Callithrix jacchus: one gene and its partners. The protein of the gene in region 3 interacts with the protein of the main gene of each other region in a biochemical or structural test. Links are inferred from orthologs where the notes say so. Each region holds a gene or a part of one and is shown on either strand. Other genes may lie near its edges. The genes, in order: PTX3, FGFBP1 and FGF2.

Region 1 (4,436 bases), on a different chromosome or scaffold from region 3:
AAAGGATTTTAGAATACTTTTACTGAACATAAAATTGTACATTTTGGATTATTTTCTTATATCTGTCCTCCAGTTCATTAATGTTCATTTCAGCTTTGCCTAATTTGCCACTTAATCCATGCCTTGAGCTTTTAAAAATTTTAATTGCCTTTTTTTTTTTAATTCTAGAAGTTATATTCGGTTCTTGAAAAAAATCACCTTGCCTTTTTCTCTTTGACAATGTCTTATTCTTTTCTTGTATGTTCAATTCCTTCCTTTAGAGCTTAAATAATTTTAAACATATTTATTTTCTAGCCTTTGGCTGATATTTCAAATAAATAAAATTATTGGGGAGAGGTGTCTAATTCTTTTTGGTCTCTGCTGATTTTCATTTATAGTGGTTTGCTTCCTCACATGTTCAAATATCATAATATCATTGTGATTTTTTTTTTTACAGTGGCGGACAGTATACATTGGAATTCCAAACATGTTTGAGGTCAGGCCCAAATTCACAAACTCAGAGGGACCTTGTAGAGTTCAAAGAGAGACATGGTTGCTTCCTACCTTTTTGTGTTAGGGCAGAGTAGAATGTACCTACTGAAATACAGTATTTAACCCTCTAGGTTCCTGGCTTTCATGAAGGTCTCTTCTAATTCTCCGCCTTTGAACTAAGCTTTGCTTCCACATGGTCATCAACATTTGGTGATTATAGAACTAATAACCCCTAACGGTCTTCATTCCTATTCCAGAGGGGCCCTAGCATCAGCTCATGGGATTGTTGGTTTTGGTTTCCTCTCTCTCTTTGGCTCCTGGATATTTCCCTTACTTTAATGGGAGCCCATCTGTATCTTTTAAGTTTTTATTAATAAATATCATGTGAACATAGACCTGTATATATTGTTAAAAGCAAAAATCTCTATGTTTACTTTTAAAATAGGATCCTTGCCTCTACACCTTGTAGAGTAATATAATGTCTGCATAATACCAAGTTATGAAAAAAAATACCTAAGTAGCTAAATAAGTATATTCCTTTTTTCCAGCTTCCACCCCACCCCCACCCCATTTAGGTTTACCCAGGTGTACGGTGTTTATCATTTAAAAAGTGTGTCTATAAAAGTATAGGTGCAACTACAACAGAAGGATTAAAGACAAGATAGCTTGGATTGGACTTGACTTCCAGAGCCATAACAATTCTCAATATGTTGGTTTATCTTGGAATCAGACCATTTTCATTTTTAACCTGTAAAACAGTGTACAAAGGAAACATGGAAAGTTTATGAAATAAGAACAGCTCACAGAAAATGCTGAAATGATGAATTCCTTCACTATCCTCTGAAATTACTCCCCCTACCCCTTCTTCATTTTCATTGCTATCAATTCATGTTACAACAGCTAATTCTCAGGAGAATAGTGGAAGCCCAGTTTCTCTCCTCTTTCCCCTCTGACTCTGAATCTGACTGCAGTGTAAACCTTTGTGGTTTACTATTGTGCAACTTCCACATTTCCCTCGCCCTCCCACCCAGCCCCCTCCCCCACCAAATCCAGGGGAACTCCCGTTACCACAGTGCCACCAGCATTACTCATTCATCCCCATTCAGGCTTTCCCCAGCATTTATTAAGGGCTCTCTCCTCCAGCCTCTCACTCTCATTCTCCTCTGCTCAACCTCAGTTCACTTGAGAGTCTCCTCCCACCAGCCGTGGAACGAACTTTGCGTCTCTCCAGCAATGCATCTCCTTGCGATTCTGTTTTGGGCTCTCTGGTCTGCGGTGTTGGCCGAAAACTCGGACGATTATGATCTCATGTATGTGAATTTGGACAACGAAATAGACAATGGACTCCATCCCACTGAGGACCGTAAGTTCACTTTAATGTTTCTCTGCTAACCCTGACTACATATCCACGTCTTGGTCTGAATAATACACATATATACTTTGTAGCCAGTGAGACGAGTTAAAATATTTAGTTTGTTTTGCCAAAGTGAGAAGCACTTGAAGAAAGAGGGAGGTTTCAAAGTTATTTCTGTAACGTACATAATGGGTTGAGTCATATAAAATCGCCGATATTTGACTGTTTTGAGCTACATAACCGGCGATTTCATAGGATACAACTTAATCTACACCTGAATGAATGATTTCTGTTGTTCTTGAGACATTTACGTGCTGTTTTTCGGAGGTGTTCTTAAAGGCAAGGGAGATGCCAGGGACGGGCTGCAACTTGGCACCACCGAGGGAGGTCAGCTTTTACAAAGCACATCCTAGGCAGGCCTGGGCGGGCTGGTAACGTGTGTGCATCCCGCGCTCTAGCCACGCCGTGCGACTGCCGTCAGGAGCACTCGGAATGGGACAAGCTCTTCATCATGCTGGAGAACTCGCAGATGAGAGAGGGCATGATGCTGCAAGCCACGGACGATGTCCTGCGGGGCGAGCTGCCGAGGCTGCGGGCGGAGCTAGGCCAGCTCGCGGGCAGCCTGGCGAGGCCGTGCGCGCCAGAAGCCCCAGGGGAGGCCAGGCTGGCCGGTGCTCTGGAGGAGCTGCTGCAGGCGAGCCGCGACGCGGGCCGCAGGCTGGCGCGCCTGGAGGGCGCGGAGGCGCGGCTCCCAGAGGAGGCGGTTCGCGCCCTGGCCGCGGTGCTGGAGGAGCTGCGGCAGACACGAGCGGAGCTGGGCGCGGTGCAGGGCTGGGCGGCCCGGAGCTGGCTGCCGGCAGGTAAGGAGGCTTGCTGGGCCGGGACCTCCCCCTGCGGCTTTGTTCCGGGAGCGCGCGTAACGGCGAGTCAAGCCAGGCAATCTTCTAGGGGAAGCTTTCATGGGAAACACACACACACACACACACCCCTATTTCTCCTTGCACGGCACAGAGCTCAGACACACCATACAAGGCAGGAAAATAGGCTTTAAAAAAGTATTCCTCAGTCCTAAGGAACTCTAAAGAAAATTGTGGAGGTAACCATCACAGTCTTGAAATAGCCTTCTAGGGCCCTGACACCCGTTCTGATCAGACGCTGCAGGAGGTCCACTGGCCGGTTATAACCGTGACCCATCTCGCCGCCCAGCTTCCCTCCGTTAGGGATTTTCACGTCTTCTAATTTTATCTTGCCTCTGTCTTTTGAGGAGCTCTGGTTTCCCGCACTATTTCGGGGCCCAGGCTAACGTTTAGGGATGTTTTCCAGCCCCTCAGCCGGCCCCTCCTCTCCGCCCATTCTCAGCAAGAAACTTGAGGCTGAATCTAATCTCCCGAAGGGTCAGCGGAATTCTCCAGGGATCCCCCAGCCTCCAGGGTTTGTGGAATAAGCGCGACAGGGGAGGTCAGAGGGTGTGCGGTTTGAGATTCAGCGTGGAACAGTCAAGTGTGGGAGCCAATCCGTGAAGGCGATCCCAGCTCCACCCCAGGGATTCAGAGAACTGGGCCAAACAGGAGAGAGACTGTTCAAACCAGAGGCAACTTCTCAAAGTATCCATGAATCTCTAAACAGACATGAGTTCCCAAAATAATACATTCTAAAGATGGTTAAAAGAAAGAAATCGAAGACTTGGAGCCTAGCAATACTCCTTTGTATGCCAAAACTTCTAAGAAATGGTGGTGTCACAATCAATTTGGATTATATTAGAAAATCAGTGTCCTAGGTAAGAAAATATAATCGCAATTTTCCTGAGAATTCTTCCCTATATTTCCAAGAAAACCACTTTTGCTGGATGGGGGGAGAGAAGAAGCATGTTTGAGGGCATGTTTCACTTAAAGTTAGAGAAATTATACCATATTTTCTAAATATTTGAGGAATGCTTATCAGTAAATATCAAATACTGCTTCAGAGGAGAAAAAAACATAAAATCAAAAGTACAGTAGATTCTCAATGTAATAGGAGAGAAATTAGAATTCTGCAGCCATTTTAATGAATGAAATGTGTTTTGCAAACAAAGTCATTGTACATATAATGCACCTGAAAAACTGAAGAATTACTCTATTTTTTAATCTTCATCTTTGCACATTAGTTAGAGCAGAAGAGGGATGCATTTCTGAATTTAAAATGTTAATCCTTATTACATCGATAATACTTTTACCAATATGCTTTGGTTTCTCTTTTCTTGGTCTCCAGCCAACTTGGCTCCTAACCATTCTGTTGTTAGCCTCCTAAGAACCTGGCTTTAATTTTGTTTGGTCTTCGATAATCAGAAAAACCTATTAGTTATCAGCCATTTCATAAGAGTTTCTGATACTTTAAAGAAGTATTAAGAGTCTTCTTTAAAGAAGGCCTTTAAGAGCCTCTTCTTTAAAGAAGGCTCTTACTACTTTAAAGAAAAGGTATTAAGATTCTATCAGAAACTATCTTATGAAATGGATATAACTTTTGGGTTATCACTGGTTCCCAAAAAGAAGCTCACCCAAAATAGCCAACATGTGGTTCATCTATCCATGAACTTAAGTAGCCAGTGTAGCCTAGAGAGAAGCTGAGTCTGAGA
Region 2 (4,179 bases), about 100 Mb from region 3:
CCAGAGCCACTGGAAAAGGAGCTTGTTTCCTAAGCTCATGGAGATGTGAAGAAAGCTTGGGGAAACAGCTTCAGCACAGAGCCTTGCACGATGTAAGCTCATTGGAGGAAGTATATGTTTCTCCCCGTGGACATCCACAACAGTGTGGGTGGCGTAGGGAGGATCAGGAGCCAGTGACACCAACAGAGAGGGGCTGGCATTGGAGTCTGGCCTTGAAGGATGAGGTGGTGTGTGCCAGGTGGAGAGGCACGGGAATGGGATCCCAAGGGCAGGGAACAGCAGAGGCAAAGGCAGGAAGTGGGCAAGGGCATGGAATGTCTGCAAATGGTGGGACAGGGTTTCACTGTGGCCAGATTGCAGTGTGTGTGTGCGCATGTGTGTGTTTGTATCTCTGTGTATGTGTCAGTGTTGCTGTGTGTGTCTGTGTGTGTGATTCTGTGTGTGTATGCTGATGAGTATGAGTGTGCATGTGTCTATGTGTCAGTGTGTGGGTTTCTGTGTGTCTATGAGTGTGTTTCAGTGTGTGTCTTTGAGTGTATGTCAGTGTGTTTGTGTAAGTCTTTGTAGGTGTGTCAGTATCTATGTGTATGTGTCTGGGTGTGTGTACCTGGAAATGAGTTTGGGATGGCAGGATGAGCCAAGGATGCAACTGCCCCACAGCCTGCTCTGATGCTGTGCTGCTGAGTCTAGCAGGGAAAGAGCAAAGCAGATGCTGGAAAGGGAGTCACATGAAGGGAAGGCCCTGGGAGCCAGCAAAATGATTCTGCTCTACTTTATGATAATAGCTTAGCCCAGTAAAAATTCCCAGATTCTACCAGGCTCTGAGAGGCTAGTAAAGAGGGAATTTTTAACATAAATTTCCCTACTGCTAGAATTAGGAAATCCTCTGTTTATGTAGTAACTTCAGATGCTAAAAGGAACTCAGACACTAAGAAGACTTCGGCAACTTCAGTCACCCATTCAACAAATATTTGAGAGTGGCAGGCAGGAAGAGATCAGACCATGGATCTAGAGAATCTCACATTCAGTTATGAGATCCCCCTTTTCCTGACTCTGTGAACTTGGACAAGCTATTGCATATCTCCAGTTATGTATTACTAAGTAAAAAAGTACTATTTTTACATTTTTTTTTACCCAGAGTAAACAGGGAAGAGCCTGGAGGAAGCATTTAATGGCGCAGGTCACCCGCCTTCTCCCTGGATTACATCCAGCACTTTCCCTGCAGGAATGGGCTCCCTCGGAGGGGCGTGGCTGACGAGCTGTGAGTAAGGTGTCAAAAGTGAGTGTTATAAAAACCCAGTCAGCCTGGCTCCTGTTGAATAGTCCACCCCCTTGCACACTACCTGGGACAGCTGCAGCCTGCAATTCACTCCTGGGATCGCACTGGATCTGTGTGCTCAGAACAAGGTAAGAGCCTTGCTCCTTTTAACAGCTTTATTACATGCCACCACTTCTCACTCCACTGAGGGCCTGGAGTTCCTTGGGCCTGCAACCCATCATGGGCAGGTTGGGGGCTGAGCCCCAGGGCTGTGAGAAATGGCTGGGTGTCAGTTGGGCATATGTAGCCTCCTCTTCACTATTTATTGCTGTTCTCTGCCCTTTCATGATTGTATTTCTCTTCGTTAAGCCTAGAAGGAGGCCAACTTCTAGGGTAGAAATTAGATCAGGACCATTTTATAAAAATTCTGTGTTTTGTTTTAAATGGAGTGCAAATAATATAAATCATCTTATCATCATGCATTATATCAAACTAAATTGGCATCATTCATAGTTGTTTTTCTTATTCTTTGCCAATGTTTTTAAAGGGCAGAGTAAATGTGAAAAGCAAAAGGGATCAACCAGGGTGACGGAAAGGAATAGGGAGATTAATCTGGCTACCCATACCAGCTTTGAGACTTGCCCACTGTGAGATCCTGAGCAATTTATTTACCTGTCTGAGCCTTAAGAGTCAGAGCTGTCACCTGGGATAACATACTAATAGTTACCTAGAAGAGCTGTTGTGTGGACTTAACAAGGTGGGAATCAAACCCCGGACCAGTACGTAGCACACAAGAGGTGTCATACAGAAATGGACTTCTCTTCTGCTATTAAGCATGGGTTTTTATTGTACACATCATCAGATCTGTGCAATTCAGTGTGACATTGATGTTTATCCTATTGATTCAATGATTTCTCATGATCCTTGTCTTCAACATTGTAGTGTGAACTATCCAGTTGAAATTCACCTCTCTCCACCCTGGTTCACTTTGCCCAGGCAAATCAAACAACCTCCCCACCTCATGCCTTTCCTTTGGCTCTTACTTCCTCCCAAAAAGCTCCCCCACCCCCACAACCCCACCCACCACACCCAAACCCCAGGCATGTTCAACTCTGGCACAACGTCACCTTCCGTGATGGTTACCACATCCTTTCTCATTTTGGGCATTTGTGTCCTTATGGAGTTGTGAGATAGAAATCTAGTCCTTTGGAGCTGGAAAAGAGTTTGGAGCAATAGCTTGTTTCAGATTAAGTGGAGGCAGAGATGATGGGATAGATTCCCTAATTGACGCCATTTAAATTCTCTCAAAGAGTGACTTCTAAGCTCTCTCAAACCTGAGGTTTCTTGTTCATGGTGATATCTTCAACACCTACTCTGGTGCTCAATAAATGCTTGTTGAATGAGTGAATGAAAGAATGAGGAGTGAGCAAGTGCAGGAGTTGATGAGTGCATAAATGAGAAATGAGAATTCGTGAGGCTCCTAAGAGTGGTAGTTTTGTGACACTCAAAATTCAAGTCAAGTGGAAATGTGAGTAGACAGGCTGCTTGTCTGGTGCCTCTAGGAGCCAGAAGCATTCTTGGTCTACTCTGAAATCAGGCAGATACCTGTCAGGGTGGAGGGGGGCCAGTGTGTAGTCCTGCACAGCTGAACTGCTGCCTGCCACTGACTCACCTGCCTTTTGTCAAACAGGTGCCCGCCCAGCTGCAGCCATGAGGATCCATAGCCTCACCCTGCTCTCCTTCCTCCTACTGGCTGCTCAGGTGCTCCTGGTGGAGGGAAAAGAAAAAGTGAAGAATGGACTTCACAGCAAAGCAGTCTCAGAACAAAAGGACACTCTGGGCAACACCCAGATTAAGCAGAGAAGGAGGCCTGGGAACAAAGGCAAGTTTGTCACCAAAGACCAAGCCAGCTGCAGATGGGCTGTGACTGAGCAGGAGGAGGGCATCTCTCTCAAGGTTGAGTGCACTCGATTGGACCATGAATTTTCCTGTATCTTTGCTGGCAATCCAACCTCGTGCCTAAAGCTCAAGGACCAGAGAGTCTATTGGAAACAAATTACCCGGAGTCTGCGCTCACAGAAAGACATCTGTAAATATCCCAAGACAGCTGTGAAAACCAGAGTGTGCAGAGAGGATTTTCCGGAATCCAATCTTAAGCTAGTGAGCTCCACTCTACTTGGGAGCACAAAGCCCAGGAAGGAGAAAGCAGAGATGTCCTCCAGGGAGCACATCAAAGACAAAGAGAACACCCCCTCTAGCCCAGCAGTGACCCAGACCATGATCACCAAAGCTCCCGAGTGTATGGAGGACCCAGATGTGGCAAACCAGAGGAAGACTGCCCTGGACTTTTGTGGAGAGAGTTGGAGCTCTCTCTGCATGTTCTTCCTCAGAATGATTCAGGACACGTCATGCTAATGAGGTCAAAAGAGAATGGATTCCCTTAAGAGATGTCATGTCATAAGTTCCTCTGTATGCTATAAAGCTCTCTACAGTCCCCAATAGATAAGAACTTTTGTGCTAAGTGAGTGCAACAAAATATTTAAACAGATTTTGCAATTTTTGCTTTCGTGTTTTGGAATTTGCTTTATTTTTTTTAGATGTGATAAGTCTTTGAGCTGAATGAGCCAGAGTGATAATTTCAGTGCGAAGAACTTTCTGCTGAATTAACTAAGATAATAAAATTCTGGATGTTTTTCAGAAACACATTCAAACATTGCTTGGTTTCTCTGTGTCTGGTCCCAAATAAACTCATAAGGTAGTCCCCATATATTAATGGAAAAACAATCTAAAAAGCAACTTCCAGTTCCCGATCCTTCCCAAGTTCTCTTTCCAGAATCCTTTATGTTTTTATCTATCAGTCTGTGGTGTTTGGTGCTTGTTGAAGTGTAATAATTAGGATCCCCATTTTCAGGTGGGACACC
Region 3 (3,648 bases):
CTTTACTCCTAAATCTAATCAATCACAAGTGCTAACACTTTCCTCAGTCCTCTATAACCCACTGGTATTGCCAGGATCCGAACATCACTTGCCTGGACTATGACAGTGACCCTCTAACTGATCTCTCTCCACCAGTCTTGGCCCCTTTAAATCTATTCTCTATACTTCTGCCTGGATGATCTTTCTCAAATTTAAATCTAACTGGGTCTCTTAAAACTCTTCTTGGCTCTCCACTGCTTATAGTCAGCATGATGTGTAAAGCCCTTCAGGAGATTCAGCAGGCAGTCTACCTTCCTGGTTTTCTCTCTCTTCCCTTCTGCCTTGTTATTCCATTGCACTGTACATTCCAGCATTCATTAATTACTTGTAATTATAGAGATGCATCAAGTAGATTTTTGCATCCACACCTTTGCATGTCCCATGTCCTACAATTATCTATATCTTCATCTCTATTTCTTCTGCCCCATGACTGCCTGCTGAACTCCTTCCTCCTCTATATCATCTAAAATCCTACTTGTAGGTCATCTCCCCCAATTCTAGACAAATTTAATCACCTCCTTTTCTGTATTGCTTCCTCTATCATAATACTTATCTTTTCCTATAACACTATGCATGTATGTAAAATATAGAAGTAGCATATCAAAACCCTTATACCTTATTATAAATACTTATTTATACTTCTGTCTCCCCTGGATTGTCACTCATTAAGGGCAGAGACCATCTGATATTCAATTTTATAAGCCTGATGCCTACTATAGCATCTGGCACACTTACACTCAATAAGTAGTGGCTGTTCTTAAAGATGATTCTAAAATTTATTCAACTACCTCCCCCAAAAATTGAGAGCCACTACACTCAAATTTGTGATTTATCCTGCAAAAATCACATAAACTGATAATATCAACATAAGTATATCTTTGTCTTATAATCAGTCTAAAATTGGGATGGTTGAAATATTCTTTTTCTTTTTAAGTCTTGTTTTGGTATTTTTAGAAATCCAAAGGTCTTCATTCAGAAGAAATTTCAAAAACTATTTGTACAGCTCAAAATACCACAATTTCTGATACTATTAGATCCTTTCTTTGGGGAGGTTATATAGAAAGGCTATAACTGGCCAGTGGCATTGCTATAAGAGCTGTGACACACACACACACACACACACACACACACACACACATTTATATATATGTCCTATTTACTCCCTCAAGGAGATAGGAATAAGATCTGTGTCTTTTGTATTTCTTTATTTTCCTGCACCATTCTTCATACACTGTATGCTCAACAGATAAGCAATCCCATCTTTAATAATAATGGTGAAGCTGACAGTGAGTCTGTAATAGTGGACAGAATACTAGACAGGACTAGTACCTCTGACAAGCTGTGATGAAATGTAAAAAAGAAAAGTCCCTCTCCACAGCCAGGCACTGTGGCTCACACCTGTAATCCCAGCCCTTTGGTGGGGCCGAGGCAGGTGGATCACCTGAGCTCAGGAGTTCAAGACCAGCCTGGCCAACATCGTGAAACCCTGTCTCTACTAAAAAATACAAAAAAAAAAAAAAAAAATCCAGGTGTGATGGTGTACTCCTGTAATCCTAGCTATTTGGGAGGCCGAGGCAGAATTGCTTGAACCCATGAGGCAAAGGATGCAGTGACCCAAGATAGCGCCACTGCACTCCAGCCTGCACGATGGAGTGAGACTCCATCTCATTTAAAAAAAAAAGTCCCTCTCTTGACATATCTATATATGAGAAGTAACGTGAGGAGGAAATAACAATTTTCAGGATCTATTATGTGTCAAATGCTGATCTGGATGCTTGTTGTGTTGTATCTAAATTATAAAATCCCAATGAGATAGGATCATTATTGTTTCCATTTTACAGGTAAGGGAACTAACTCAGAATAATTTGCCTAAGAACACACATCTCATAAGTGGCAGAGTCAGCATCTGTACCAGGTGAAAAGTCTACATTCTCAACTAATGTTCTACACTGCAAGTGTTTTGTATGTCACATTCTAAAGAAGAAATTTAAAAACTGATAACCAAAATTTTATACATCTATTCCCACTGATCTTCAATTACACAATAGAAGGAAAACTTTTAAAAATTATAGTTTAATAGTTTTGCAGAGCAAAAGCAGTGATTTCGAGTTCATGACTGTCCCCAGCCCAATCCAGTCTCTACTTTATATGAGCTATTTTCTTACTTTACTTACTCCTTAGAACAGCAGTTCTTGCATCTGTGAAATAGATACTCACCATTTTACAGTGTGACTATGAAGATGATACATGTAAAATACTTTATAAAGATTTGATAAACACCAATGCTTGTAAATTAACTGCAATAAAACCTAACAAAAAACCTGTGAAAACAGAAAGTATGCTTACAGAAGCCAGTAATCTTCCATCTTCCTTCATGGCAAGGTAGCGGTTAGCACACACTCCTTTGATAGACACAACTCCTCTCTCTTCTGCTTGAAGTTGCAGTTTGACTGTAACAGGAAAAAATTATTTTTGTAGCACCACAAAGGAAAAAGTCTTCTCTATAACATTTATACAATATGAAGACAAAACACGCCTGAGCAACAACTAATCCACTTTGGAGGATTGGTGAGGTTGGGAGTATAGGCAACAGGGAGCAGATGTCAACTAAACTGTATGAGAGACGACGAGATGCAGAACTACTAGGGCACCAGTGCCTTGTCAGTCCCTTGTCACCTATGTCACAGGGTGAACAGAGAAGGGGGATAGATGGAGAATTGTTTCCTTGGTTGGGCAATTAGCTTTCAATTGGCCCTGTTAACTGTTTACCTTTTTTTAAGTGAACATATTTTAAGGGTACATAAAAGTGTAGACCATGTGAGAATTCCCACGCTACTCCTTTGTTTAAACTCTTTAAAAATTTATTTGCCAATTCTTCACAAATAAAACACAATCTAATTGTTCACTGTTATAATTTGAACTGTATTTCCTCGATTTCTATACATCTTATTTCTAGCTTCCTCTTCAATGAAATACAGATGCATTTAGCTTTCTATATCGGATTTTGATGTCTATTTTTTGTGTGCAAATATTTATCTAGTGGAAACACAAAATGTTTATACTTAATTTGCTTATACAACAAATGATTTTCATAAAATAAGTGTGAGGAAAGATTTTCATAAACTAAGATCCTGACAAAGATGACTTGTCATACTACATTACCAATATTAAGCAGATTATAGAAAAACAAAACAAAGATATTACTTGATTATGATAATATAATATGAACAAATAATAACCTAATTAACTGAAATAAAAATAAAGATCATTTTGCTATTCAGAGGCAGCATTCTCCTGCCTAGAACAACATTCCTCCAAATGTATTTTGGCTAAGAGATGTTACATAAAAAACAGGTTCTGGGATCAAATGATTTAGAAAAATCTTAATTAAGCCAAGTTAACTCTTTATTACCAAACTTCTCAGAACTCTGCTTATCATAAGATAAGCAAGATAAATGTTTGTCCAACCTATTTTCATAGGTCATCCTATATCCTATGGATATGTTTGGGATATTCTTGAAAGCAACAGAAAAAAAATACAGTTTTAGAAAGCAGCATATTATCATTTGAATAACATTGGAAATACATAATAAATATAATTTCCCAGGT

Evidence for each region.
Region 1: the proteins of FGF2 (region 3) and PTX3 form a complex in vitro, tested with the Homo sapiens proteins (3 studies listed by BioGRID and IntAct, with this or other methods). The link is inferred for Callithrix jacchus from reciprocal best matches to the Homo sapiens genes FGF2 and PTX3.
Region 2: the proteins of FGF2 (region 3) and FGFBP1 form a complex in vitro, tested with the Homo sapiens proteins (2 studies listed by BioGRID and IntAct, with this or other methods). The link is inferred for Callithrix jacchus from reciprocal best matches to the Homo sapiens genes FGF2 and FGFBP1.

Annotation. Positions count from the first base shown.
Region 1 is NC_133518.1:28,117,395-28,121,830, reverse strand, and holds the start of PTX3 (pentraxin-related protein PTX3), read left to right. Parts: upstream 1-1,620; 5' UTR 1,621-1,704; coding exon 1,705-1,834; intron 1,835-2,283; coding exon 2,284-2,685; intron 2,686-4,436.
Region 2 is NC_133504.1:177,943,816-177,947,994, forward strand, and holds FGFBP1 (fibroblast growth factor-binding protein 1), read left to right. Parts: upstream 1-1,317; 5' UTR 1,318-1,407; intron 1,408-2,948; 5' UTR 2,949-2,968; coding exon 2,969-3,673; 3' UTR 3,674-3,969; downstream 3,970-4,179.
Region 3 is NC_133504.1:74,751,851-74,755,498, forward strand, and holds part of FGF2 (fibroblast growth factor 2), read right to left. Parts: intron 2,490-3,648; coding exon 2,386-2,489; intron 1-2,385. UniProt on the Homo sapiens protein: Acts as a ligand for FGFR1, FGFR2, FGFR3 and FGFR4. Also acts as an integrin ligand which is required for FGF2 signaling. Binds to integrin ITGAV:ITGB3.